7 linked regions of the Oryctolagus cuniculus genome follow. The main gene of each other region encodes a partner of the protein of the gene in region 3 in a complex. Links are inferred from orthologs where the notes say so. Each region holds a gene or a part of one and is shown on either strand. Other genes may lie near its edges. The genes, in order: CWC22, BUD13, SNRNP200, PRPF3, ARMC7, CWC27 and SNW1.

The links.
Region 1: SNRNP200 (region 3) and CWC22 share a complex: the UniProt entries of both Homo sapiens proteins name them as parts of the minor spliceosome. The link is inferred for Oryctolagus cuniculus from reciprocal best matches to the Homo sapiens genes SNRNP200 and CWC22.
Region 2: SNRNP200 (region 3) and BUD13 share a complex: the UniProt entries of both Homo sapiens proteins name them as parts of the minor spliceosome. The link is inferred for Oryctolagus cuniculus from reciprocal best matches to the Homo sapiens genes SNRNP200 and BUD13.
Region 4: SNRNP200 (region 3) and PRPF3 share a complex: the UniProt entries of both Homo sapiens proteins name them as parts of the U4/U6-U5 tri-snRNP complex. The link is inferred for Oryctolagus cuniculus from reciprocal best matches to the Homo sapiens genes SNRNP200 and PRPF3.
Region 5: SNRNP200 (region 3) and ARMC7 share a complex: the UniProt entries of both Homo sapiens proteins name them as parts of the minor spliceosome. The link is inferred for Oryctolagus cuniculus from reciprocal best matches to the Homo sapiens genes SNRNP200 and ARMC7.
Region 6: SNRNP200 (region 3) and CWC27 share a complex: the UniProt entries of both Homo sapiens proteins name them as parts of the minor spliceosome. The link is inferred for Oryctolagus cuniculus from reciprocal best matches to the Homo sapiens genes SNRNP200 and CWC27.
Region 7: SNRNP200 (region 3) and SNW1 share a complex: the UniProt entries of both Homo sapiens proteins name them as parts of the minor spliceosome. The link is inferred for Oryctolagus cuniculus from reciprocal best matches to the Homo sapiens genes SNRNP200 and SNW1.

What each region holds. Positions count from the first base shown.
Region 1 is NC_091434.1:61,056,119-61,060,207, reverse strand, and holds the start of CWC22 (pre-mRNA-splicing factor CWC22 homolog), read right to left. Parts: upstream 2,801-4,089; 5' UTR 2,539-2,800; exon of another isoform or gene 1-2,538. UniProt on the Homo sapiens protein: Required for pre-mRNA splicing as component of the spliceosome. As a component of the minor spliceosome, involved in the splicing of U12-type introns in pre-mRNAs. Promotes exon-junction complex (EJC) assembly.
Region 2 is NC_091432.1:108,946,649-108,950,915, forward strand, and holds the start of BUD13 (BUD13 homolog), read right to left. Parts: upstream 2,801-4,267; 5' UTR 2,770-2,800; intron 1-2,769. UniProt on the Homo sapiens protein: Involved in pre-mRNA splicing as component of the activated spliceosome. As a component of the minor spliceosome, involved in the splicing of U12-type introns in pre-mRNAs.
Region 3 is NC_091433.1:111,275,318-111,279,320, forward strand, and holds the start of SNRNP200 (U5 small nuclear ribonucleoprotein 200 kDa helicase), read left to right. Parts: upstream 1-1,203; 5' UTR 1,204-1,376; coding exon 1,377-1,421; intron 1,422-1,941; coding exon 1,942-2,105; intron 2,106-3,608; coding exon 3,609-3,780; intron 3,781-4,003. UniProt on the Homo sapiens protein: Catalyzes the ATP-dependent unwinding of U4/U6 RNA duplices, an essential step in the assembly of a catalytically active spliceosome. Plays a role in pre-mRNA splicing as a core component of precatalytic, catalytic and postcatalytic spliceosomal complexes.
Region 4 is NC_091438.1:47,633,445-47,636,944, reverse strand, and holds part of PRPF3 (U4/U6 small nuclear ribonucleoprotein Prp3), read left to right. Parts: intron 1-1,421; coding exon 1,422-1,540; intron 1,541-1,819; coding exon 1,820-1,903; intron 1,904-3,500. UniProt on the Homo sapiens protein: Plays a role in pre-mRNA splicing as component of the U4/U6-U5 tri-snRNP complex that is involved in spliceosome assembly, and as component of the precatalytic spliceosome (spliceosome B complex).
Region 5 is NC_091448.1:5,404,931-5,409,116, forward strand, and holds the start of ARMC7 (armadillo repeat-containing protein 7), read right to left. Parts: upstream 2,801-4,186; 5' UTR 2,605-2,800; coding exon 2,514-2,604; intron 2,028-2,513; coding exon 1,884-2,027; intron 520-1,883; coding exon of another isoform or gene 491-519; exon of another isoform or gene 1-490. UniProt on the Homo sapiens protein: As a component of the minor spliceosome, involved in the splicing of U12-type introns in pre-mRNAs.
Region 6 is NC_091445.1:85,773,957-85,777,456, forward strand, and holds part of CWC27 (spliceosome-associated protein CWC27 homolog), read left to right. Parts: intron 1-1,123; coding exon 1,124-1,236; intron 1,237-3,449; coding exon 3,450-3,500. UniProt on the Homo sapiens protein: As part of the spliceosome, plays a role in pre-mRNA splicing. Probable inactive PPIase with no peptidyl-prolyl cis-trans isomerase activity. As a component of the minor spliceosome, involved in the splicing of U12-type introns in pre-mRNAs.
Region 7 is NC_091451.1:23,412,519-23,415,304, forward strand, and holds the end of SNW1 (SNW domain-containing protein 1), read right to left. Parts: intron 1,412-2,786; coding exon 1,248-1,411; intron 1,168-1,247; coding exon 969-1,167; 3' UTR 501-968; downstream 1-500. Other genes in the region: SLIRP (SRA stem-loop-interacting RNA-binding protein, mitochondrial), read left to right, coding at 384-455. UniProt on the Homo sapiens protein: Involved in pre-mRNA splicing as component of the spliceosome. As a component of the minor spliceosome, involved in the splicing of U12-type introns in pre-mRNAs.

The sequences.
Region 1 (4,089 bases), on a different chromosome or scaffold from region 3:
CTTTAGCCAGCTATTCTTCAATTACAGGAGCTCTTGATGTGTCCCCAGGCCTAAGCAGCCCATAGTCCCTTTCTGGTGTCTGCTCACTGGGAAGTCTTGCTAGCCTGGCTACAGTAGCAAAGGTCTGCTTTAATGTACTGCTTCTTCTCCTGAAGTTCTCTTTTTAAAGAAAATGCTTTGAGAGTGTACTTTGTTGAAAGCCTCGAAATGTCTCTTTTCAATGTTCACTTGAGAAATGCTTGCAGTAGGAAACCAGCAGGCCTTATTGTCCCATTACCCTCCAATGGCAGAACTGTCAGACTTTAACAGAAAGGGAAATTCAACAAGGAAGCCCTCCAAAACATAGGTGGAATCATATATATATATATTACCAATAGCCCCTTTTTTCTTACTTAGAATAGCTCTAGGATAGTCATGACTAAGTTAGGGATAAACCAGGTAGAGCAAAATTCAGTCTACATACAAGATGGCAATAAATAGCAACTACCGTTCAAGTTAAGGCATAGTATAGGCACATAAAGGGTACTACAGACACATAAAGTGCCACTGTCTCCTTTGTTGAAGTGATGTCAAATACAAACCACTGTAGGTCATTTGGCAATGCAAAATTATGAGATAATCTCTAACAATTCAGCAAATGAGAAAACTAACAAAGAAAGGTGTTTTATAAAAGTAGTTAAGTAGTCTAGGAAGCATCAGAATTGCAAAAGTGAGTAAGCCAAACTACCCAAAGCAGGGAAGGATGTGGTGAAATAATAATGATGGGAAACTGGTTGGCCACGAATCAAATAATTTGGAACAAAGAGGGCAGGCAACCTGATTTGGGGAACCACAGCATATCTCTAAGGCATTAGCTTTTTTATGGTCTGGTAAAAAACATACAGATGGGTCCCATGCCCCAGTTTTTGATTCAACAATTATTACATGACTAACAAGTTCCAAGGAGATACCGGTGCTGCCGACTTGGAAAACCACATTTTAGGAACCACTAAGCCAGGGTAATAGAAAAAGCTTTTTGGCCTCTAAAGTACCAGTAAAAGAATCTCAGAACTCCAATGAGTTAGGAAAGATTCCACAAAAGTGACACGAGCACTTAAAAGTGGCAACATTCAGAAGCAAAGAACAAGCACTAAGGAACAGAGAAAACTCATTAACTCTATCATATATTAACAATGTTAAAACACCGGAGGCCAGCCCGGGAGCACACTGCCGGACATGCAATGCCTTCAGACTCAACCAGTGAGCCAGGCAGTTATTATTACAACTATTATTACCTTTAGACAAGGACTCTGAGACTAAAGATGTTAGTACACTTGCCCCAAGTGATAAATCTAATAATCACTGAAGCAAGACTGCAATCTCTGGCTTGCCAGTCCATCACCCAGCACCCACACAAGTCATTTCCTCCTCCTATAGACAACTGCCTGCAGCAACGCTTCCAAAACCGCACTTTTAACGCTAATCCTAAGTCTGCCCTTCCACAGGATAACTGATGTTAACTCCTGTGTTCCTAAATAAATCTAAATGCAGATAGGGAAGAGGGAGGCTAACTGATCTTTTTTAAGACCAACTTTGTTCGTTTATCTGCTATTTCTAGTCTGTTGATATCGCATAACACAAAGGAAACTCATCACATTTAAATCACCCAACTCCTACACCCAGAATAGCCTTTTCCCAAATTTCTCATTCTCACTCCCCTCAAAGCACGGAGGATTAAGTAAATACAGGTAAAGACGCTATTTCAGTTAGTCCAAGCAAAATTAACTATCATATCACCATTACATTGAAGTGTATTGTAGGACTCCAGAGCTCAGCAGAGAGTGACGAACCGGAGGACCAAGTTAAGGAGTTGTCAATCTTATTGGAAGTGGTTCAACTAACGGCAGGACGAAAGATGATAGATGAAGACAATGGAAAAGGAGGGGTTCCCAGGACTAAACATCTGTAAGTATCAGTAAATGGCAGGGCAAATACATGAAAAAGAAACCACTAGTGAAATTTTACAAAGAGAGTCACAGGGATAGTACTCCGCCGAGAGGCTTTAAAGTCAGTTAGCTATCTCTTAAATGAACTATAGTTCATTAATCCTATTCCCGAGTCCCTGGGACCCGGGCACTAGGTAGGGGCCTGGGCAAGCCCCCTAACTCGAGAGGTTCGAAGTGACCCGCGCCCAAAACACTGCACACGGCGGGAGGAAGAACCAGCTCGGATGCAGTCACCCAGCAACTGAGACACGGCCAAGGTACGGCGCAGGAACCTCATGAGCCTGAGGTCCGTCCGCGCAGGCGGAGAGCCAGCTCACGGCTGCCCACTCTCCACCTGACGGGGCGACTCGGCCCAACCCGCTCGCTTAGCCCAACCTCGCGGGCCCGCGCGTGGCGGGAGGACGGCAACGCGCTCCCGGGGCCGCCCACAGCCGGACCCGGCGGCATACTCCCCCCGCCCACAGACCTCCTCACTATCCCTCCCGGTCCAACAACCCGCGACCCCCCACTGCAGTTGCCTCCCCGGGACGACTCGACCGAGTTCGATAATTACCTAGAGCTCCACCGCGGCGCCATTACACCGGATGCACGTCACTTCCCCTTCCCGGGCACCGGCAAGAGGAGGAAGGCGGAGCGTGAAGTACGTAAAAACCGGACGCTCATTTGGGTTTGACGCGCTTTGCCTATTAGGTTATCTTAAACACCACATCACAACGCCAGATTGAAAGCAGTGCATCTAATCATACTGTCTCCTTACCAACACGGCAACGAAAAGCAAGTAGACCCGAACTACAAAGACCAGCATCCTCCCTCTCGTCAGACGGAAATGACTAACCGCAATTGTAGTTTTAGCGCGAGAAAGCCCCAGTGGACGATGGGAATTGTAGTTCTTGGATATAAGCATCTGCGACTGCCTCCAGGCTGCTCACAGAATACCTGAGAGTAATTAGGGTTTGATAAGATTAATTATAATCCAAAACTGTTTCTCTGCGGTTGGCAGAAAAGTAGTCCTCTGTGGTCACGTTTCCGTGAAAATATTAAAAAACAGAAATCCTCTCAGACATTTTGGTTTGACCAAGAGCATATTAAGCAAAATGTTACTAAATGATTAAGTGCCTACTAAGTTCCAAGAGAATATTAGCCCATTAATAGACTGAGAGAAGCTAATTCTGTGAAGACGATGATGTCTCTCTTTGGGCTAAGATACCAGGTGACAAGACACTGTCGAGATAAAGAGATTCCGCAGCTGAGTTAGAAACTGTCTTATACAGAGTTCAGAGGTAGGGCTTCAATCAAACAATTTCCTTGAACTTTCGTTTTTGCAATCACAAAACCCAGAAGTCCAAGTAATTGTTAACTGTTTGGGGAGTTCTCTTGCTTTTTTAAACCAGGACTGGTTTCTGCAAATACTTCATTACAATTTTAGGTTATTTGTGCTTCTAACTCTTTCCTAGTTGCAGAGATTAAAGGCATTAAAAAACAAAATGGAGCTGGGCTACTTATGCTTAAACGATGGATTTATTCATGAATCATTGACTTCGAGTAAGTTACTTCACATTCTGTGTCCATTTCCTGATTTGTAAGGAGTAAAAGCAGTACCCACCTATATTCTGTTTTATCAATGATGCAATGCTTGATATACAACTGCAATTGGGCTAATACTTGGTTGAAGTTGCTATAGTCTATAATAATTATCCTAATTCAGTTGATTTCTTTAGATCAGACCGTCAAAATTAATTGGAGCTATGTTGGCATTATCATAAAACCTTGACATTTTTCTGGATATCATTTAAAAAATTTTTTTTTCTATTCTGGGTATCATTAAACTCTACTATTCACATATGACACTGATTTTGATTGCTCTCTTGGCCAAGAGAGAAAGTTCAAAGACTTTTGCTTAGCCTTATCCACTGTTACAGTTTGGATGATAGTTTGTGTGTTCCCCAAAGGTCTGTAGGTTGAGGACTTGATCCTCAAAGTCTTATGTTAACCATTAACAGGTCAATGTTAATGGTTGAAGGATTAAGGGTTGAGGCTTAATCCAATTATGGTGTCTGGAAGGTGGGCTCACTAGGAAGTATTTAGATCATTGGGAGCTTGCCAT
Region 2 (4,267 bases), on a different chromosome or scaffold from region 3:
TTCAAGGCCTTCTAAGGATACTACAATCTTTTTTTTTTTTCCTTCTGCTAAACGATCTTTTTTCCGTTCCCTCAGACTATACCCATTACATCAGCAGGGCTGTTCCAGCTTACTGTGGAACTCTTCTCTGCTGACATATTAAATTATATGCCAAGCACACTCCATTCCCTGTCCCCAAGGCCACTGTCCTCTTTAATTTCTTCTTTGATTTTTTTTAAACTTGAGAGGCAGAGAGAGAACGAGAGAGCGAGCTTTTATCCAGTGGCGTTCACTCCCCAACTGCCCAAAATGGCCAGGATTGGGCCATGCCAAAGCCAGGAACTCGGGACTCAATCTGGGTCTCCCACATATAGCAAGGACCCAATTACTGGAGCTATGATCATTGCCACACAGGTCTACATTAGCAGAAAGCTGGAGCCAGAAGCCAAAGCCAGGTGCTAAACCCAGGTACTCAGATATCAGGCAGAGATGTCTTTAACCGGCATTTTAACTGGGCTAAACGTCTGCTCCCTTTTCTGCATTTAAAGGCTGTTCCTCTAGAGGAAGCCTTCATTCCTCGCTTCATTTAAATGACATTACAGGGGGGCTGTCGCTGTGGCTTAGTGGATTAAGCTTCCACTTGCAGCACTGGTTTGTGTCCCAGCTGCTCCTCTCTGTTGGTGGCCAGGGAAGGCAGTGGAAGATATCCAGAGTTCTTGGTCCCAACACCTGCATGGGAGACCCAGAAGAAGCCCCTGGCTCTTGCCTTCAGATTGGCCCAGCTCCAGCTGTTGCAGCCATTTCGGGAGTGAACCAGTGGATGGAAGACTGACCTCTCTGTCTCTCCCTCTCTCTGTCTATAACTTTGCCACTCAAATAAATAAATAAATAAATAAAACCTCCCAGGTGCTCCTGGCCCTGGCTCCTGACTACAGCTTCCTAATAATGTACTTCCTGGTGATGACTCAAGTGATTGGATCCCTGTCATTCATGTGGGAGAACTGGACTGACTTCCCAGCTCCCAACTTCAAACCACCCTAGTCCTGGCTGATGGGGACATTTGGGGAGTGAACTAGCAGGTGGGAGCACCCTTTCTCACTCTCCCTCCCTCTCTCTGGCTGTCTCTCCTCCCTCTCAAGTGACACTAACTTTTTAAAAAAGGATTGTTGTTTAAGAATACACAAACACACACACACACTACTAACAAATACTATCTGAGATGAAATCTGAAATTTCCACAGCCCTCCAGTTTGTTCCCTTCAAATAGAAACTACAAAACTTCTGCAGAATGTTGATGTGTTGCAAATAGATTAGTCAGGCTAAACCACAATGGGGTAAGAAGGAGTAATAAAAAGGAGGGCAAACAGGGACTGTCTGAACTTGTACCTAATAGTATGGGTGCATTTTGATTACATTCCTAGGTTTTGGTTGAGTCATTGTTTTGTACCATGGAGAGAAATATTTCTGACCACTGTTACACATAATAATGAACTATTCTCAAGCAGTTTTCTAAAGAAATTACATAGAGAAAATCATTTCTTTCCCAGAATGAGAAATTCTGTTAAGTTTTGTTAGGTTTACAAAGAATTCAACGGCACTTATCAGCCAGTTTTTAGCACTGAGAGAAGCTGTTTGGGATTTACTGAGAATTCATTCACACACAAAATTTTGTAAGGTATTGTTTAAAAACTTTAATAAAATGAGGTTCCCGCTTGGTTGTCTATCACTACAATCTCTCTCTGATTATCGCTTAAATACCTTAAAAAAAGTTAATACCTTCAAGCACCAGACATCACTCTTTATACTTGAAAATACAGGACATCCTCAAGCAAGTCAATAGTCATTTCACAGAACTGGAATCTTCATGGCACCATCACACTTGCAGCTGTTAACTTTTCCCAAGGCGTTAAGTTTTTATGTTTTTTTAAAGATTTTATTTATTTGAAAGGTAGGGTTAGACACACACAAACACACACAAAGAGAAAGTGTCTTCCATCCGATGGTTCACTCCCTAAATGGCCGCAATGGCCAGAGCTGGGCGGATCTGAAGCCAGGAGCCAGGAGCTTCTTCCAGATCTCCCACATGGGTGCAGGGGCCCAGACACTTGGGCCATCCTCCACTGCTTTCCCAGGTGCATTAGCAGGCAGCTGGATTGGAAGTGGAGCAGCCAATACTCAAACCAGCACTCATATGGGATTCTGGCGCTGCAGGCAGTAGCTTAACCCATAGGCCACAACACCAGCACCCAGTTTTATCTTTAAAGGCCTTCATACATTAGCCTCAAACTACTTTCTCATCATCTTTTAATACTAAACTGATGCATTTACTGTCTCTAAAAAATGACTTGCACTATCATGTTTTCATATCTTTGCTTATATCACTCTGTCAAGAATTGCCTCTTTCCCATTTTTCTCCCCACATATGAACAGACACTTCTGATCAATCCTTGCTAACACTGGCAGTCTTCCCTTCTCTCACTCCTCTAGTCAGCCAAAGGTTTTCTGTCCCTGCTCACAATCTTTGTGGTCTTTGCCCAGATGACCCTATTCAACACTTAGTGAAACAAAGCTACAAATATTCTCTTTTTCATTGACTTGTAATATTTTGCAACTAGAAAAACCCTGTAAAATAATTAGAATAATAGGTTTCCAAGTTTTTTTTAATCACCAAAGATACTTTTGTTTTTAATATATTCCCCCGACACCTGCTTGTCACTCTTAGGCCTTTATGTTAAAAGTCTGCAGACAAAATTTTTAAAAACTTTGTGAACGGCCGGCGCCACGGCTCACTAGGCTAATCCTCCAAGTAGCAGCACCAGCACACCGGGTTCTAGTCCCAGTCGGGGCGCCGGATTCTTTCCCGGTTGCCCCTCTTCCAAGCCAACTCTCTGCTATGGCCCGGGAAGGCAGTGGAGGATGGCCCAAGTGCTTGGGCCCTGCATCCCATGGGAGATCAGGATAAGCACCTGGCTCCTGCCTTCAGATCAGCGCGGTATGCCGGTTGCAGTGCACCAGCCGTGGCGGCCATTGGAGGGTGAACCAACGGCAAAAGGAAGACCTTTCTCTCTCTCTCTCTCTCTCTCTCTCTCACTATCCACTCTGTCTGTCCAAAAAAAAAAAAAAAAAAAAAAACCTTTGTGAACTAAGTTATGTTTATGAATAAACAAAATTTACTTGAAAAACAAAAAAGGATAAATTAAAGATTTATTGTAGGGGCCCGCATCATGATACAGCGGGTTAAAGTCCTGGCCTGAAGCACGAGCATCCCATATGGGCACCAGTTCTAGTCCCGGCTGCTCCTCTTCCAATCCAGCTCTCTGCTATGGCCTGGGAAAGCAGTAGAAGATGGCCCAAGTCCTTGGGCCCCATGTACAAATGTGGGAGACCCGGAAGAAGCTCCTGGCTTTGGATCGGTGCAGCTCTGGCCCTTGCACCAGCGAATAGAAGAACTCTCTCTCTGTCTCTACCGTTCTCTCTGTAACTATTTGAAATAAATAATAAAAAGTTTAAAAAGTCTAAAAAAAAAAAAAAGGACTTATTGTAGATCGAAGTTGCTCAAACTCAGATCCAACAGAGAAAGGATACAACTTCAGTTAACAGCAAAGATAACTGAAATTTTATTTAACCTGGGTAGTTTAATCATGAATACAAAAGCTATAATTATTCTCAGCTTTAGAAAAGCAAAACAGGCCCAGTGTTGGGGCATAGAGGGTAAAGCCACCTTTAATGCTGGCACCCCATATGGGGATTTGTTTGAGACCCAGCTGCTCCACTTCCGATCCAGCTCCCTGCTGCTTGTCTAGGAAAGGCAGCCCAGGAGTGCTTATGCCCTTGCTACCCACTGCTCGACTTCTGGTCCAGCTCCTGGCAAATGTGCCTGGGAAGGCAGTGAAAGATGGCCCAGGTGTTTGGGCACCTGCACTCATATGGGTGACCTGGAAGAAGCTGCTGGCTCCGGCCTTCAGCCTGCCCAGCCCTAGCCATTGTGGCCATATAGGGAGGGACCCAGCAGCTGGAAGTTCTCTCTCTCTCTCTCTCTCTCTCTATCTCTCTCTGACTTTCAAATAAATCTTTTTTTTTAAACAAGTATAACAAAATATAGTTTCCACTGTTATCTACTCAGACCTTATCTTATGATCTTACTTGAGAGAAATCAAAATTAAAAATCATTGAGTTAGGTCAATCTCCTGCAGTGCCAGCATCCCATATGGGGGGTGCCAGTTAGAGTCCTGGCTGCTCCACTTCTGATCCAGCTCTCTGCTGTGGCCTGGGAAAGCAGCAGAAGATG
Region 3 (4,003 bases):
ATTGGTTCACTCCCTAAATGGCCGCAACGGCCGGAGCTGCGCCGATCCGAAGCCAGGAGCCAGGTGCTTCTCCTGGTCTCCCATGTGGGTGCAGGGCCCAAGCACTTGGGCCATCCTCCACTGCCTTCCTGGGCCACAGCAGAGAGCTGGCCTGGAAGAGGAGCAACTGGAACAGAATCCGGCGCCCCGACCGGGACTAGAACCCGGTGTGCCGGCGCCGCAGGCGGAGGATTAGCCTAGTGAGCCGCGGCGCCGGCCAATACCCATCCTACTATTCAGTCATTTTTTCAGAAGCAAACATGCAAGCATTCATCTGTAAGCTGCCATTCCACCTGTGAGACATGGTAGGGGTGGGTGAGGGGGCGGTGCCTACCAGTCCTGGGCTTTGGGAAGCAACTGTTACTGTCCTCAAGGAGTTCCTCCCGCCAGGAGGGCTGCCACATTCACCCAAGTTCCTCGGTGAGGTGGAGACGGCCCTGCCACGGAATGTGACGCCTGAACAAAAAGATCTGGCCCTGCTCATTCCGCTGGGCAAGAACCAGGGCCTCGAGGGCATGGGGGTTAGTGGGATGGGTGGGGGACGGAGCTTTCTCTGTTGTTCCATACGGAAGAGAAACACACGATTCTGTTGCTTTCTAGCGCTTCAGTTTCCTCTTCCAGAAATGGAAGGCTAACTGGCCTCTCCTTGCCGGGGGCCTTCCCAGGGCTGTTGCCAGAGTCAGCGGAAGCAGCTGGAGAAAAAGGCCTGGGGTGGGGGTAAAGCCGCACCTGCCACACCGGCGCTGGTTCCTGTCCGGCTGCTCCTCTTCCGAGTCAGCTCCCTGCTAGTGGCCTGGGAAAAGCACTGTCAGATGGCCTAATGTTTGGGTCCCTGCCACCCACGTGGGAGACCTGGAAGAAGCCCCTGGCTCCTGGCTTCAGCCTGACCCAGCCCTGGCCATTGCGACCACCTGGGGTTATCCAGCGGATGGCAGACTGCTCTGTTTTTCTAACTCTTTCAAATAAATAAATATAAAAGAGGCTGCGCATAGGATAGGCGCAAAGGAGGCGTGCATCCCGATACGGTGGAAGGTGCCTTGGCCGGGACCCGAGGCCCGACCCCTAAGCACTGTGGCGCCCCTAGCTCTGAAGGGCCAAGACCCGGAAGCACAAGTCCCAACCGCTCCACCCAGAAGGCAGCGGGAAGCGGCGCGCGCCTGCCAGAAACCCGGCCCGCCCCGCACTTCCGGCGCGCGACCCGGAAGCGGAAATTAGTCCGTCTCCTTCCCCTCCGTTGCGTCTCTCCTGCGTTGTTGAAGTCCTCAACCGAGAGCAGCGCGGTTTTCAGCGTGCGGTGAGGAGGAGTGGATCTCTGAGAGCCAGGAGCGGCTGCCGCCATGGCGGACGTGACCGCCCGAAGCCTGCAGTACGAGTACAAGGCGGTGCGTATGGGCTTAGGGGAGGACTCGGGGGAGGCAGTGTAGTGTATAGGGGAGGCGGCAAGCTGCGAGTGGGAGGTTCAGTCTCAAGGCCTGCAGGAAAGCCACGAAATCGGAGGCGAAATCGGATCGGGGCGAAAGTTTGGGTATGCGACGATACGGATTATCGCACCGGGGCCTGGGGCGGGCAGGACAAGGCGGAGAGCTCTGTGGGACCGGGCTGCCAAGCCTTTCAGCGTTCAACCCGCCCCTTCACCTGTCCCTCTCCACTCGCTCAGTACTTCCCGCATGAGGGTTGTTATGGTTAGAAGCCAGCATTGTTCAACTGATAGACGGCACGTAGGGCTTATCAGCCCTGTGCTCGTGCTTAGCGTTATGTGTTGCTATTTCTTTTCAAATTATATACCTTTATATTCCGGCTAGTGGTTATTAACGCTCATTGTGACTCTTGAGCTGGGATCAGGGTGCTGCAGGAACTGGCCTCGCGTATGTCAGAGCTTCAGCAGTGGTCTGATCTTTTCAGAACTCGAATCTTGTGCTCCAAGCTGACCGGTCTCTCATTGACCGAACCCGCCGAGATGAACCCACCGGAGAGGTGCTGTCCCTGGTTGGGAAGCTGGAGGGCACCCGAATGGGAGATAAGGCACAACGGACCAAACCACAGATGCAGGAGGAAAGAAGAGCCAAGTAAGTACCGATGGAGTCCTGTTTTTCTTCAGAACCGAAGTCTGTCTTTTCCTTAGCAATTAGTAGTGTTTTTGTTGAAGTGCGTGTTGCAAGATTGGACAGCAGTGGCATTAAAACAGATTGGTGAAGGTAAAAGCTGAACATGAGAGTTTGAAGATTCTACGGCCTTAGCAAATACACTTTGAGGGCTGGCGCTGTGGCGTAGTGGGTTAATTCTCCACCTGCTCTGCCAGCATCCCATTATGGGCGCTGGTTCTAGTCCCAGCTGCTCATCTTCCAGTCCAGCCCTCTGCTTTGGCCTGGGAAAGCAGTAGAAGATGGTCCAAGTCCCTGTACCCGAGTAGGAGACCCGGAAGAAGCTCCTGGCTCCTGGCTTCAGATAGGCATAGCTCCAGCCACTGGGGCCATTTGGGGAGTGGCCCAGCGAATTGGAAGACCTTTCTGTCTGTCTCTCCCTCTCTATGTCTGTAACTATACCTCTCAGTAAATAAATAAAACCTTAAAAAAATAAATAAAGTACACCCAAGTGGAAAATACTGGTACCTTTTTGTGTTTCTGGTCCATAAACATCTTAATTTTCTTGAGGGTATCTTTAAGACCTTTGGTATTTCTCATCTCAGTAGGTTTTTAATTTTTTAAGACATTTATTTTTGAAAAACAGAGTAACAAATAGAGAGAAAGGGATTTTCCATGTGCTGGTTCATTCCCTGAGTGGTTGCAATGGCTGGGGTTGGGCCAGGCTGAAACCTGGAGCCTGGAATTCCATTTGGGTCTTCATGTGGGTGGCAGGAACACAAGTACTTGGGGCCACTTTCCCTTGCTTTACCAGCACATTATCAGGGACCTGAATTGGAAGCCGAGTAACAGAGACTTGAATCACTGCTCTGATGGGAGATGCTGGCATTACAGATGGCAGCATAACTGCTAGGCCACAGCACTGGCCCCTTTGTATTTTGAATTTATTTCATCTGAGAGATAGAGACAGGCCGATTAAAGAACTCACATCTGCTCGTTTACTTCATAAATGCCCATGTTAGCTGCAGCTGGTCCAGGTTGAGGCCAGGAGACTGGAAGGCAACCTAGGTTTCCTGTGTGGTGGCAAGGACCTACACACCTGAACCGTCTCCTGCTGCCTCCCAGGATATGTGTGTATTAGTAGGAAGCTGAAGCTGGAAGTGGAGTTAGAATTGAAGCCAGATGTTCCAATATGGGCTGTGGATGTCCAAGTGGCATCTTACTGAGTGCTGTACTGCATGCCTACTCGTGTTTTTAAATTAATGATAACCCTGTCTTGTAACATTTAGTGAACTTAGTGAGAGGGTGAACACTTCCTTTCTGTTACTGTGTCCTACAAAGAAATACTTGTGCAAATGATTAAGGTGAAATGGGGCTCATTTGTTGCGGTGCAGGTGTACGGTGATACTGAGGAGGGAGGGCTTGATTCTCTTCTTGTCTTGGGGAGGCAAGGTTCTCCTGTGGAATGTCACACTGTGTGTCCCTTAGGCGAAGAAAGCGTGACGAGGACCGGCATGACATCAACAAGATGAAGGGTTATACCCTGCTGTCGGAGGGCATTGATGAGATGGTGGGCATCATCTACAAGCCCAAAACCAAGGAGACCCGGGAGACGTATGAGGTGCTGCTCAGCTTCATCCAGGCTGCGCTTGGGGACCAGGTGAGGCCGCCAGAGAGTGAGTGCCTGTGCTTGGGAAGGGAGGGGGTGACGGCTGGGGGACACCAGAAGAACCTTGTCTCTGGATTTCCCTGTGTGGCTCATACCAACTTGCGGAAGTGACTAGTATTTACGAAGTGTTTGGTTGAAGTGAAATGATACTTTACATGGTTTTTTCCTCCTTTTACATCAACTCTATGGATTGATGCTATTAAAAAAAAATTGG
Region 4 (3,500 bases), on a different chromosome or scaffold from region 3:
TTTTTTCTTCAGTGGTTATATATGTAATATTTATGTTTTAAGATTTATTATTTATTTGAAAGGCAGAGTTACAGAGAGGCAGAGGCAGAGAGAGTGGTCTTTCATCTGCTGCTTCACTCCCCAGATGGCCACAGCGGCCAGTGCTGGTGCCAATCCAAAGCCAGGAGCCATGAGTTTCTTCTGGGTCTCCCTCTTGGGTGCAGGGGACCAAGGACTTGGGCCATCTTCTGCTTTCGCAGGCCATAGCAGAGAGCTGGATTGGAAGTGGAGCAGCCAGGTCTCTAACTAGTGTCCATATGGGGTGCCAGCAATGCAGGCGATGGCTTTTACCCACTGTGCCACAGCACCGCCCCAGTAGTCATATGTTTATCTTCATTTATTTCAGTAATCCTTTTATCCTCACTCAAAAAATGCGTTTGGATGACAAATATTTTTTCTACCTTTGTGTTAATTTAATGTTTTATTTTATTCTTTTGAATATGTCTTCTGTTTTTAAATGTGTTTGTTTATAAGACCTAATTCTTTTTTATAAAAATGGTACATTATTACAAAGTAGTGAATGCTTGTAAAGATTTTTTTTTAAATTCTAACTTTACAGAACACTTACTGAAAAATGTCCTTTTTTTATTTTCTAATCCCGTAAGTCCACTCTGAGTTAATTACTATTTACAGTTTTTCATGTATCCTTTTAGAAAGCTTTTATGCATTCATGGTGACTACATTATAAGCATCTAGAGAACAAAGAATGTGTAGGTCTTTACACTGTCAAGAACAGTGCACTGGAATGAGTACTGGTGCAGTGATTAAGATCCTGCTTGGGACACTCATCCCATATCTGAGTGCTTGGGTTCAAGCGCCAGTTCTACTTCTGATTCCAGTTTCCTGCTAATGTGCACCCTGGGAAATAGCAGATAATGGCCCAAGTACTTGGGTTCCTGTTACCCATATGGGAGATCCAGTTTGAGTCCTGAGCTCCTGGCTTTGGCCTAGCCAAGCTTTGGCTGTCACAGGCATTTGGGCAGTAAACCAGCAGATGGAAGATCTGTTTGTTTCTGTGACTCTCTTTCTCTCATGTCATTCAAAATAAAATGAAAATAAACAAAAATTTTCTAAAAACCAAAGAATAACAAACTTATAAATATTTTTGGATAGCAGTAAATAACTTCCTCATTGTTAGAGTAAATTTTGATCAGCTGTTACTTGTAAAATGTATAGTGCTAGACTGTGAAGAAATACAACATAGTGGAAATATTTGCAGACTCGTCAGTTCTACCTTCTAAGTATTCATGTATTTGTTTACTCCAGAGACTTTTGTTTTTTAGAGAGAAGTCTGTTTTGGATCCATTCATTTATTTGCCATTCCATTCAGGCAACTACCTGATGCTAAAATGGAAGACATAACTAAGCTTTCCCTTCTCCAGAGTTCGAAATTTGAGCAACCCAGCCAAGAAGTTCAAGATTGAGGCCAATGCTGGGCAGCTGTACCTGACAGGGGTGGTGGTACTCCACAAGGATGTCAACGTGGTAGTAGTGGAAGGGGGTGAGTCTGAAAAAATTGAGGGAGACTATTCCCAGACAGCCATAGGCCTACAGTGATTAGCATTGTGGGGAAAAGGAAGAATAAGATAGTATCACAGTGCATACTTGGGTGTAATATACTGAGCCTCTGTTGATGTGTTTATTGGAGTAGAAGGCCCCGAGATGTGGTTCCCGGGATTGCTTCAGCTACATTGACCTCTTGGAGTATTAGATGAGCTCAGAGTTTCTTTCTATCCATCATCTTCCACAACTCTGCAAAATTCTCCTTCTCTGTTTCTAGGCCCCAAGGCCCAGAAGAAATTTAAGCGTCTTATGCTGCATCGGATAAAGTGGGATGAACAGACATCTAACACGAAGGGAGATGGTGAATGGGGGCAAAAGGGGTTTAAGTGGGAGAGCCTGGGAAGTGGGGATGGTACACAGATCTGTTTATATTACTTCCTTCCCTGTGACACTCTAACACTAGATAGTGTGCAAAATTTTAGAAAGACCCATTCAGACTCGGGGACTACTGAATAGTGATTGAGTATTTGTTACATGATCATATGCATGAGTGTTAAAGTTCTTCTGCCTATGCTTTTTTTTTTTTTTTATCTTTTATTTAATGAATATAAATTTCCAAAGTACGACTCATGGGTTACAATAGCTTCCCCCCCCCATACCGTCCCTCCCACCCACAACCCTCCCCTTTCCCACTCCCTCTCCCCTTCCATTCACATCAAGATTCATTTTCGATTATCTTAATATACAGAAGATCAGCTTAGTATACCTTAAGTAAGGATTTCAACAGTTTGCTCCCACACAGAAACATAAAGTGAAAAATAATAGATGATTTTTTTTTTAAATGATGATGAAATCAGATCAGACCTATTGTCATGTTTAATCCCAGTGAGAGTCAAGTTGGGAATTGATAATTTTTTTTTTTTTTTTTTTTTTTTACAGAAGATCACTTTAGTGTACATTAAGTAAAGATTTCAATCGTTTGCACCCCCATAGAAACACAAAGTGAAATATACTGTTTGAGTACTCGTTATAGCATTAAGCCTCAATGTACAGCACATTAAGGACAGAGGTCCTACATGAGGAGTAAGTGCACAGTGACTCCTGTTGTTGACTTTACAAATTGACACTCCTGTTTATGGCATCAGTAATCTCCCTATGCACCAGTCATGAGTTTCCAAGGCTATGGAAGCCCCTTGAGTTCTCCGACTCTTATCTTGTTTAGACACGGTCATAGTCAAAGTGGAGGTTCTCTCCTCCCTTCAGAGAAAGGCACCTCCCTCTTTGAAGACCTGTTCTTTCCACTGGGATCTCACTCACAGAGATCTTTTTGCCAGAGTGTCTTGGCTTTCCATGCCTGAAATACTCTCATGGGCTTTTCAGCCAGATCCGAGTGCCTTTAGGGCTGATTCTGAGGCCAGAGTGCTATTTAGGACATCCGCCATTCTATGAGTCTGCTGAGTATCTCACTTCCCATGTTGGATCACTCTCCCCTTTATTTATTCTATCGGTTAGTGTTAGCAGGTACTAGACTTGTTTATGTGCTCCCTTTGACTCTTAGTCCTTTCATTATGATCAATTGTGAACTGAAATTGATCACTTGGAATAGTGAGATGGCATTGGCACATGCCACCTTGATGGGATTGAACTGGAATCCCCTGGTATGTTTCCAACTCTACCAATTGGGGCAAGTCAGCCCGAGCATGCCCCAAATTATACATCTCTTCCTGCCTATGCTTTAAGGTTTCTTTAACAGCTGGTTTTCCTAACTGTCCTAGGTCTGAGTACTAGTTACACACATGAGTGTATTTGGTATGTGAAAATTCAACAGGCCATGCATTTGAAGGTTTATTATACTGTTTTTTTTGTTTTGTTTTGTTTTGTTTTGTTTAAGATTTATTTATTTGAAAGAGTTACACAGAGAGAGGAGGAGAGGCCTTCCATCCACTAGCTCACTCCCC
Region 5 (4,186 bases), on a different chromosome or scaffold from region 3:
GAGTTACAGAGAGAGAGAGAGAGAGAGAGCGATATCTTCCATCTGCTGGTTCACTCCCCAAATGGCCGCAATAGCTGGAATTGGGCCAATCAGGAGCCAGGAGCCAGGAACTTCTTCTGGGTCTCCCACATGGGTGCAGGGGCCCAAGCACTTGGGCGCTCCTCTGCTGCTTTCTTTCCAGGAGCATTAGCAGGGAGCTGGGTCAGAAGAGGAGCAGCCAGGACTCAAACCGGTGCCCGTAAGAGATGCTGACGCTGCAGGCAGAGACTTAGCATACTACACCACAGTGCTGGCCTCAAATAAATAAACTTATTTTTTAAGATTTATTTTATTTATTTGAAAGACAGAGTTACACAGAGAGGTAGAGACAGAGAGAGAGGTCTTCCGTCTGCTGGTTCACTCCCCAGATGGCCGCAATGGCTGGAGCTGCACCGATCTGAAGCCAGGAGCTTCTTCTGGGTTTCCCACGTGGGTGCAGGGGGGCCGTTTTCTACTGCTTTCCCAGGCCATAGCAGAGAGCTGGATTGGAAGTGGAACAGCCAGGACTAGAATCAACACCCATATGGGATGCTGGCGCTTCAGGCCAGGGCTTTAACCCACTGTGCCACAGCACTGGTCCCCCAAATAAGTAAATTTTTTTTTTTTTTAAAAAAGGGGCTGGCGCTGTGGTGCAGCAGGTTAAAGCCCTGGCCTGCAGCTCCAGCACCCCATATGGGCGCCAGTTCAAGTCCTGGCTGCTTCACTTCTGATCCAACTCCTTGCTGTGGCCTGGGAAAGCAATAGAAGATGGCCCAGGTCCTTGGGCCCCTGCACCCATGTGGGAGACCTGGAAGAAACTCCTGGCTTTGGATCAGCTCAGCTCTGGCTGCTGCGGTCATTTGGGGAGTGAGCCAGCGGATGGAAGACCTCTCTAACTCTTTCAAATAAATAAAATAAATCTTAAAAAAAAAGAAAAGAAAAAAAGGAAAGAAGGAAGGAAGAGAAGAGTACAGTAGAGTGGGGGGAAATATTTTTAAAAATTCATAGAATATGTGCATTATGAAAAAAATTTAATTTTTTTAATTGCACCAAAAACACCCTTATATTTTAACTCCACTTCCCATTAACTTGCTGAAATATCCTTGTATTCACTGGGCAGGCACTGTATGAGGGGTTCAAGTAGTCGGATCCGTGACACTCATGGGGGGGGACCTGGATAGAATTCCTGGCCCCCAGCTTTGGCCTGGACCAGCCCTGACTATTTCTGTCATTTGAGGAGTAAAACAGCAGATGGAAGCTCTGTCTGTCTCTCTGCCTCTCAAATTAATTAATTAATTACAAGTTCATGAAAAAGTCTCACAAAAAAACCTATGTATGGACTTCAAACATTTCTGCACGAGGACAGGGATGAGGGCGCAGTGGGCCAACTGGCGGGAGTCCTGCCTCAAGTCCCAGCTGCTCTGCTTCTGATCCAGCCGGGAAGGCAGTGCTGGGCCCTTGTTGCCCCTGTGGGGACCTGAGGGATGAAGGTCCCGGATCCTGGCCCTGGCCTGGCCTGGCCTAGACCTGGGAGAAGTTGTGGCCATTTGCAGAGCGAACCAGTGGGTGCAATCTCTCAATCTCTCTCTCTCTGCCTTTCAGTAAACGACAAAGACTTTAAAGTCTACATTATCGTCGCATTAAAGATCCACCTCCAAGCTGCTCCCTCCCATTCCCTGTCTGCGATCCCATCTCTAGGCAGAGGGTGGGGCCTGGGTGGGACCCCCGCACTCCCGCACATTAGCTGTGACCTGATGGCCTGTGGGGCGACAAGGGGGGCCCCTAAAGGCCGCTTTGCCGACGACTCCCTTGCAACCCTCCCATCGCGCGGCAGCCCCGCAGGTGTCGGGTCCGGCCCCCCTTACCCATAGCGAACTCCACCAGGGTCTCGTTCTCCTCCGACAGCGAGTCCAGGAACAAATCCGGGACCTGAAGCTGCCGCAGGTACTGGAAGTTGCTGGGGTCATAGGCGAAGTTGGCCAGGTTGGCGAGGACCTGCTCCTTGGCGTCTGCAACGGGAAAGCGACCCTGGAGCCGGTCCCGGGCGGCGGCCCCGCGCCGGCCCACCCGCGGCCTCCCCTCGGCTCGCGGCGCCCACCCGCGGCCCTCCCCTCGGCCCCCGCGCCGGCGCCCACCCGCGACCCTCCCCTCGGCTCGCGCCGGCCCACCCGCGGCCTCCCCTCGGCTCTCGGCGCCCACCCGCGGCCCTCCCCTCGGCTCTCGGCGCCCACCCGCGGCCTCCCCTCGGCTCTCCCCTCGGCGCCCACCCGCGGCCCTCCCCTCGGCTCGCGGCCCTCCCCTCAGCTCTCCCCTCGGCTCGCGGCGGCGCCCACCCGCGGCCTCCCCTCGGCTCTCCCCTCGGCTCGCGGCGGCGCCCACCCGCGGCTCTCCCCTCGGCGCCCACCCGCGGCTCTCCCCTCGGCTCGCGGCGCCCACCCGCGCCCTCCCCTCGGCTCTCCCCTCGGCTCGCGGCGGCGCCCACCCGCGGCTCTCACCTTTGCTCGCGGTCTCCTGGAATTCCGTGACGAGCGCCTGCAGGTATCCCAGCCGCCCGACGTGGGGGTCCACCTTGGGCTTCTGGGCCATGGCGGGGCGGCCGAGCGCTCCTGGGCCCGGTGGGACAAGGGCAGAAGGCAGCCTGGACAGCCGCGTGAGACCCTCACCGCAGCGGCCGGGGGGCTCAGGTCCTGCGAGAATCCGCAGCTCGAAACGGCAAGTGGGAGGCGGGACCCTCAGGATCCTGTCAGAGTCCCGGCCGGAAGCCGCGCTAGTCCCGCCCCCGGAGGGCGGAAGGGGCGGGGCGGGGAGAGACGGGGCGGGGCGAGGCGAGAAGGGGCGGGGCCGTCACGGAGCTCTTCGGCTCGCGTGCGCAATGAGCTCCGGGCCCGCGGGGACGCGCGCGGCAGACAGGTGCGCGGTCGGGTATGCGGCGAGGAGCCGGGGCGACCCAGGAGTGCCGCAGAATCTGGGGGTGCCCACATAGGGGGCTGTCGAGGCAGACGCACACTCCCCACACCCGCTGGCGGTCGCAGCCCAGCCTTCTCCCCTAGACGTCCCCCTGGAGCCTCAGCGTCGGCTCCCTGCGACCCTTCAGGATTTCAAGTCCGGCCGACTCCGCTCTGACCCCATTGGGGCCCTCCACCTCTGACCCGAAGTCCCGAGGACTGGGGTCCTGCCCTAAGCCTCTGACAGCTGGGTTGTCCCGGGCAGCACCGGAGGGCCCTGGAAGGAGCCTCAGCTCGCCCCTGTGGACCGCTGCAGCTTTCTGCGTTGTTGGGCCCGGGATCCTGAAGCCCTTTGGTCTGACTCCTCGGAGCTTCTCAGGAGAGAACAGCACCAGGAAAGGAGGCCTTGCCACATCCCCATGGTGCTTGGAGCTGTGAGCTCCTGGGGCCAAGGAATGTGGCTGCATCCCTGGGCCAAGTACAGCTGCGGTGGACGCAGGCTGCAGCCCTGCCCTATGCACACCTTCTTCTTCTTTAAAGGTTTATTTTATTTATTTGAAAGACAGAGTTAGAGAGAGAGGTAGAGACAGAGAGAGAGAGAGGTCTTCCATCTGCTGGTTCACTCCCCAGATGGCCGCAACGGCCGGAGCTGTGCCGATCCGAAGCCAGGAGCCAGGAGTTTCTTCTGGGTCTCCCGTGTGGGTGCAGGGGCCTAGGGACTTGGGCCATCTTCCTCTGCTTTCCCAGGCACATTAGCAGGGAGCTGGGTTGGAAGTGGAGGAGCTGGGACACGAACCGGCACCCACATGGGATGCCGACACTATAGGCCGTGGATTTAACCAGTTGTGCCACAGCGCCATTCTGACCTTGGCCTTGGTGCTTGGGTACCATAGCTGCCCTTTGTCCTTTGACTCTGTGGGGATCCTGGATGGCCTGGGAAAGTGTGTCTTAGCCAGGGGACTTCCCGCCTGTTGCTGGACAGAGCAGCGAAGGCCTGGGGACCAGGAGCCTGGGGCTTGAGGGCACACGGAGGTGAGCTCCTCCCTTCTCTGGCCAGGAACTGCTTTCCCAGGAAAACACCCGCAGGTTTTGGTGCCCGATGGGCAACCCAGCCTCCCCCAGTGTCTGGTCTTATCCCTTCCTAAGGCCTCAGGGCCTGCTTGGAGAACTCCCAATCCTTGGTTTTGTGCAGAACTTGCTGCCCCTCTCTGCCCAGTGCCTGG
Region 6 (3,500 bases), on a different chromosome or scaffold from region 3:
TCGTATTCAGTCAAACTCGAGTTCTTGCTCCCCACCAAATTCTTTGCTTCACTGAGATGCCATGCTTTCTGCCATATCCAAGTTAACTTCTTTCTTCTCTATCAAGACTTCCTAATGATTCTAGAGTCCAGATACTCATACTACAGGAGATCATATATAACCTATCCTGTATGTTTATGACTTCTAAATTGTATATTTATATATAAATGTAAATAATTTCATTAATTTAGCAAACAGATTTGTAGTCTAATTGGACTCACATATATATTATGTTAATTATTTACCTTGTTTAGTAAAAGTTTCTTGTGGAGAGTGCATTGATGGTGGTAGACCTACAATCTGAATAATTTTGATATATTGTGTGTTTGTTTGTTGTTTGCATATTAATGAATTAATTCTCCACGGAGTGAAGAAAAGAAGTAGGAAATAAGAAAAGCAGGAAACTGGATCAGCAACAAAGTAGCCAGGGCTCAAACTGGCACTCCCATAAGAGGTTCAGACACCCCACACAGTGGCTGAACCTACTGCACCATAATGCCTGCCTCTCTGATATTTCTAACAATTTCTTTTATAACTATTTTCTTAAATTCAGGATTCAATAAAATATCACAGATTTCATTTGCTTGATATGTCCCTAGTTGTTGTTGTTGTTTTAAATATTTATTTATTTATTTGAGAGGCAGAGTAACAGAGAGGGAGAGGCAGAGAGAGAGAGAAGTCTTCCATCTGCTCATTCACTCCCCAGTTGGCTACAGCTGCTGGAGCTGGGCTCATCCCAAGCCAGGAGCCAGGAGCTTCTTCCAGGTCTCCCACATGGGTGCAGGGGCCCAAGGACTTGGGCCGTCTTCTACTGCTTTCCCAGGCCATAGCAGAGAGCTGGATTGGAAGTGGAGCAGTCGGGACTTGAACTGGTGCCCATATGGGATACCGACACTGCAGACGGCAGCTTTACCTGCTATGGCACAGTGCCAGCCCTGATATTTTTTAAGAAATAGGAAAAATAAAGTATTGGTTTGGGAGCTGAAGAAAACCAATCTTGGATCAAGTTGTATATTAGCTCTGACAATGGTAGATGGGCTTGATTTTAGATATTGCTAAATTATTTTTGGTTTTTTTTTTTCAGCTTATTATGACAACACCATTTTTCATAGAGTTGTACCTGGTTTTATAGTTCAAGGAGGAGATCCTACTGGCACAGGGACTGGTGGAGAGTCTATCTATGGAGCCCCATTCAAGGCAAGTGAGCTTGGAATGCTTACTCAAAAACGATGTGTCCCTTAAGAAAAAAAATTCCAAAAAGAAATGTTAGTATGCAAAATCAATGTCTGTCACATATTTAAGATTACACAGCATAAGAACAACACTTTTCCCATCAAGCATTCTTTGTAAGTTGTCTTAATGTAAGATTTTATACTAGAATTAATTCAGGGGGAACTCAAGGAGGTAGTGAAAAAGACATGGTTCAGAATAAAGATAGAGTATTTCCTGATGTCTGTCTGTATTGAATATCTGCAGCTCTGTAAATGAAAGCATTTTTTAAACACTGCATATGCTATTCTACTTTAAGTTTTATGTAAACAGTATCTGGAATCTGTAGTAGACTGCTCATCCTGCTATCACCAAATACCAGGCTGGATGGCTTCAACAGTAGGGTTTGTTTCTCATGGTTCTGAGGCTGAGAAGATCAAGCAGTGGTTCGCGGTCAGGTCTGTTTTTCTGGCTTGCAGATGACTGCCTTCTCTGACATCCTCACAGTGGAGAAGGGAAAGAGAAGTCTGGAATCCCTTATTTTTATAAGGACGCAAGCATTATTGGACTAGGGGCCCATCCTTATGACATTGTTTTAACCTTTATTACCTCCTCACGGACCAAAATATAAGTGACATTGTGGGCTAGGAGCTCAGTGTATGAATTTGGGGGTTACACAATTCAGCTCACAGAAGAATATATTCTAAATCATGCACAATAGATCTCGCGGCACAAAATGCACACCACAATTGAAAAATCACAACAGGAAAAGCAACATAAAAAGTGTTAGAAAAAGATACATTAGGAATAGGTCAGTGATTTCTTAACTACCAACAAATCTTAGAAGAACAATGAGGTAATGTCATAGTTAAGATAGAAAGAACTGTGTGTTCAAGTGAAAACTAAAATTTGTGTTCATTATTAACTGCTGGTACCTGTATCATGTTCTTTGAATGAATGAACATCAAAAGCTCTTAGAATTTAGAAGTTTTTGAAAACTTCATATTTCTGTTAATGGGGTAGAATGTCTGGAGTTTCCTTTCTTCTCTGAGTTACTGTGTGAGTCTTCAGAAAAATACTTTATGAATTGTTTGCTTTAATTTCCAGATGATAATGGCCTTAGGAAATAGGAAATGATTATGAAAAAATTTAGATGTCAAGTTAGCCTATTTATATTTACCAAAGTAAAATGACTCATAGTTTTAGAGCCTCTGTCTAGTAGGAAGCATTCCTTTATTCTAGTATTTGGTGTAACAGAATAGCTTTTTTTACAATTCCTTTCTGATTAATTTTTTGCTTTTTTATTTTCATATACTACAATTATTTTGTTAAATTTTTATGTTAGGTAATTTAAAATACAGTATATAGAGTAATGATTCATTGAATTCAGATCTCTTTGAGAATTAACTTATTAAGGAAAAATAACTTCATTTATGACAAGCAGTGATTACATTCATGGCTACATTATACATAATGCAAAATCAGGTCTGGATGGAAATTCTGTGTACTCAATCTTAGCCAAAAGGCCTAGAACCATTGGATATTCTGTAAACAAAGTGGCTTATGTATGTGTTAAGTAACCCTATCATGCAAGATAACCATCTTAGAAAGGCTTGCTCCTGCCCTTTCGGAAACTAGCAGATTGGACCAATGCCAGTTCAGAGAAGATTCAGCTTAGGGCTTCAGTGAAGTCACAGTGAAATCATTTAACATAATCAGAATAAATTCCTTTAATTAAAAAATGAGAAGAAAGCAATTGTTTTACGACATTTATAATGAGATGATGACTATTACCTGAAGACTCTGCAATGACTCAACATTGTTTTCTTGAAGAAAAAAAAGATTTTAAAAGCTTGGATGGTTTTGAGGGATAATAATAGGGAAGTGAATCTTAGAAATCTACTCCCAAATGAATACCCTTCCCCTGCATGTTAGTAGACAGCTTTCCACAAAATATGCTGATCTGTGGCTGAGTATGTCTAGAATATACTTATAGGTTAGTGATTTCTAGTTTAAGTGCATTAAAAGTATAAATATTAGACTTGATTACACTTAAAAGTCAGTTAAATTAAACTTATCATTTTTGTTAGTATTTTGAGATTTTGTTAGTATTTTGAGATCTTACTGGTCAGGTAAATAATCAATTGAATTTGAAATATCTTATAACTGAGAACATTCTCTAAATATTTTTTGTACCTCAGGATGAATTTCACTCTCGGTTGCGTTTTAATAGGAGAGGACTGGTTGCCATG
Region 7 (2,786 bases), on a different chromosome or scaffold from region 3:
GGGCTGGGCCAGGCCAAATCCAAGAATAGGGAATTCAACTCAGGTTTCTCTCCCACATGGTTTTCAGGGCCCTCACTCTTTGAGCTATTGCCTGCTTCCTCTCAGGGTGTGTGTTAGGAAGCTGGAACTGGGAGCAATGTTGGGACTTGAACTTAGGCACTCCGATACAGGATTTGGGCATCCCAAGCAGCACTTTTGCTGCTGCACCAAATGCCTGCCTGATTTACGATTTTTAATTGAAGCCGAGGGAATCTAAAGAGAAAGGAATCACCAGCTGCTGGAGTTACTGGTGCGGAATCCTAAGATGGCGGTTTTCAAGTAGCCACGTTTAGTGTTTCTGCAGACGTTGCCTTTCCTTACAATGCTGCCTTGATTTTTTTCAGCTGCACGTTCAAGCTCAAAGACCAAAAGTTTTGCAAGGGGATCAAACATCTGATGAAGAGAAAGATTTTTGAGAGTTTTAATTACTGCCTACTTAATAAAGTAAACGTAACTGAGAATTTTGTCTAAATGTTTTTATTTGAAACAAATAGTTGCTCTAAGCAAGACCTTACTTTCCCTACTCCAAAATAAAATGAACACAATAGGGGCAAAATTCATTTGGCAGGACAGTTCCAGTATGTGAACTCACTGTGGTTGGGGTAACTTTATTCTTTAGCAGTCATTCTTATACAAATATGAACCCCAAACTACTAGCATCACACAAAAGGAAGTGGCCTTAATTTTGTGTGTAGGGCAGTATGTTCTATAAGTGCCGACAGGTGGGAGACACACAAACAGAACTCAATCTTTAAAAAAATCTAATTCAAAGTAGAATTTTCAATCCCCTTTCTCTTGTAGTAAAAAGTAGCCCTGGGGTCTGCACACCGATTTGGTTTTATCCTGACCATTTACAAAGTGTTCCCCACATGACTTGCATCACTAGGGTTACAGATAACAGTTCAGTCTCTCTGAAGAGACGCAGCCGTCTACTCCTTTCTCCTCTTCTTGCCTTCGTGTTCATGCTCCTTGGGGCGGCTGCTATCTGAAGGTCTTTTGGAGCCACCATGCTGTTTGGCTTCTTCCAAAAACTTGTCCAAACCAAAAGGATCTTCCTCGAACTGAACTGGTCCTTCTCGGCCTCTCTGCCTGCGGTCTGAACCAGAAAACTCCTTGTCGGGAACAAACCTAGGGAAAAAGAGAAAGGACTATGAACTACTTTGTTTTCACTGGTGTGAATGTTGAAATGGAGCTGTCTGCTTTTGTACCTGTTGGTCTTTATTCTGGCTTCTAGGTCATCACCATACATGTCCTTGTCCAGATTTTTACTGGGCCTGTAAATACTCTGGGCCATATCTTTACCACCTCTCCAGGCTTGATCATAAACATTGTAAATTTCATCTTCTCCACCTGCAAATCCACTGTCCATACCCTGTGGGAAAATGGACACGTTACTGAAACTGAATCTGTTTACTACAATCATGTTAAATATATAAACCCGTGCTCTTGGAGAGCAAGCTGAACTACAAATTAAAAAACTGTCATAAAGTGCATATACTTTTGTTCCTACCACCATCACATTCTCACCCACAGCCTTGGATCAGGTACATGTGAAGAAATCATTAACACAGGAAGGTGCTACTACTGTAAGAGCAAACTTGACGTTTTCATTTGTGTATACTCAGAGACACGAAGATGCAGGAACTATGAAACATTTCTCTGATGCCATTTACGGTAACAAGTATTATATCCCTCGTATTTCCTCAGCGGAAATCTTAAACAATGGAGATGTTTTCATCACAACTTTAAATGCTTTAAGCTTAAGCTTGTAACAGTTGTCGTGAAAGTATTTACTTGTGTGGAACTTTGACCACTAACTCCCTTTGCTCTGGAAATTCCCATTGCATAGTGGGTAAGAACAAAGCTTTGGAGTCAAGACATCCAAGCTTGAATCTTAATTTCATCAGTACTAGCTAAACCTCTCAATTTCCTCACCTAAAGAACACAGTATGACTTTATACTGTATTATTTGAGATGATAGAAGATTTAGAACAATACCAGGAATACAAAAAGCACCTAATACCTTTATGATTGTTACTTATACAAGCTTACCAGGATATTGCCTTCAAATCTTCCTAAAACTTTGAAGTCGTAATTAACCCTTCCCCCTCTACATCCAGTGGAACTTACACTTCTGTATTCTAAGCCAGTCTTTCTGTGTGTATCTTCTTCAGTAGGCTATAAGATCCTTGAAGGAAAAGGCACTCGATCTTTGATCTCACAACTTATGCAGAGTTAATATCAATCTTAGGTGAATTCAAACAGAAAAGTACGTTTCCAGGCCTATAGTGTCCCAGTAGCTAGTTAACGATAACTAGAAATCAATTTTCTGACAACCTGTCCCATAAGTTAATCTACAGCTTCATTTTTTAAAGATCCCATGTTGACCAACAACATAACAAAAGGGGAAAAGCTAAAGGTTTTCTAAGATGTGGAATAAGACAAGAATGCTCACTTTAACCATTTTTGTTCAACATGGTACTGGAAGTCTTAACCACAGCAATGAGGCAAGAGAAAGAAAGGGCATCCAAATCGGAAAGGAGAAAATCAAACCATCACTGTTTACAGAAGACACGATCTTATACATTGGAAACCTCAAAGAACTACATGTTAAGACCAGGAACTTTGAAACTACTATAAAAAAAAGGGAGATGCTTCAGGACATGGAAGGAAAGGAGTTTCTGGGTCAGAAAAATCGACTCATGGGATCTCATCACAATAAAGAGCTTCTGCACAGCAAAGGGACA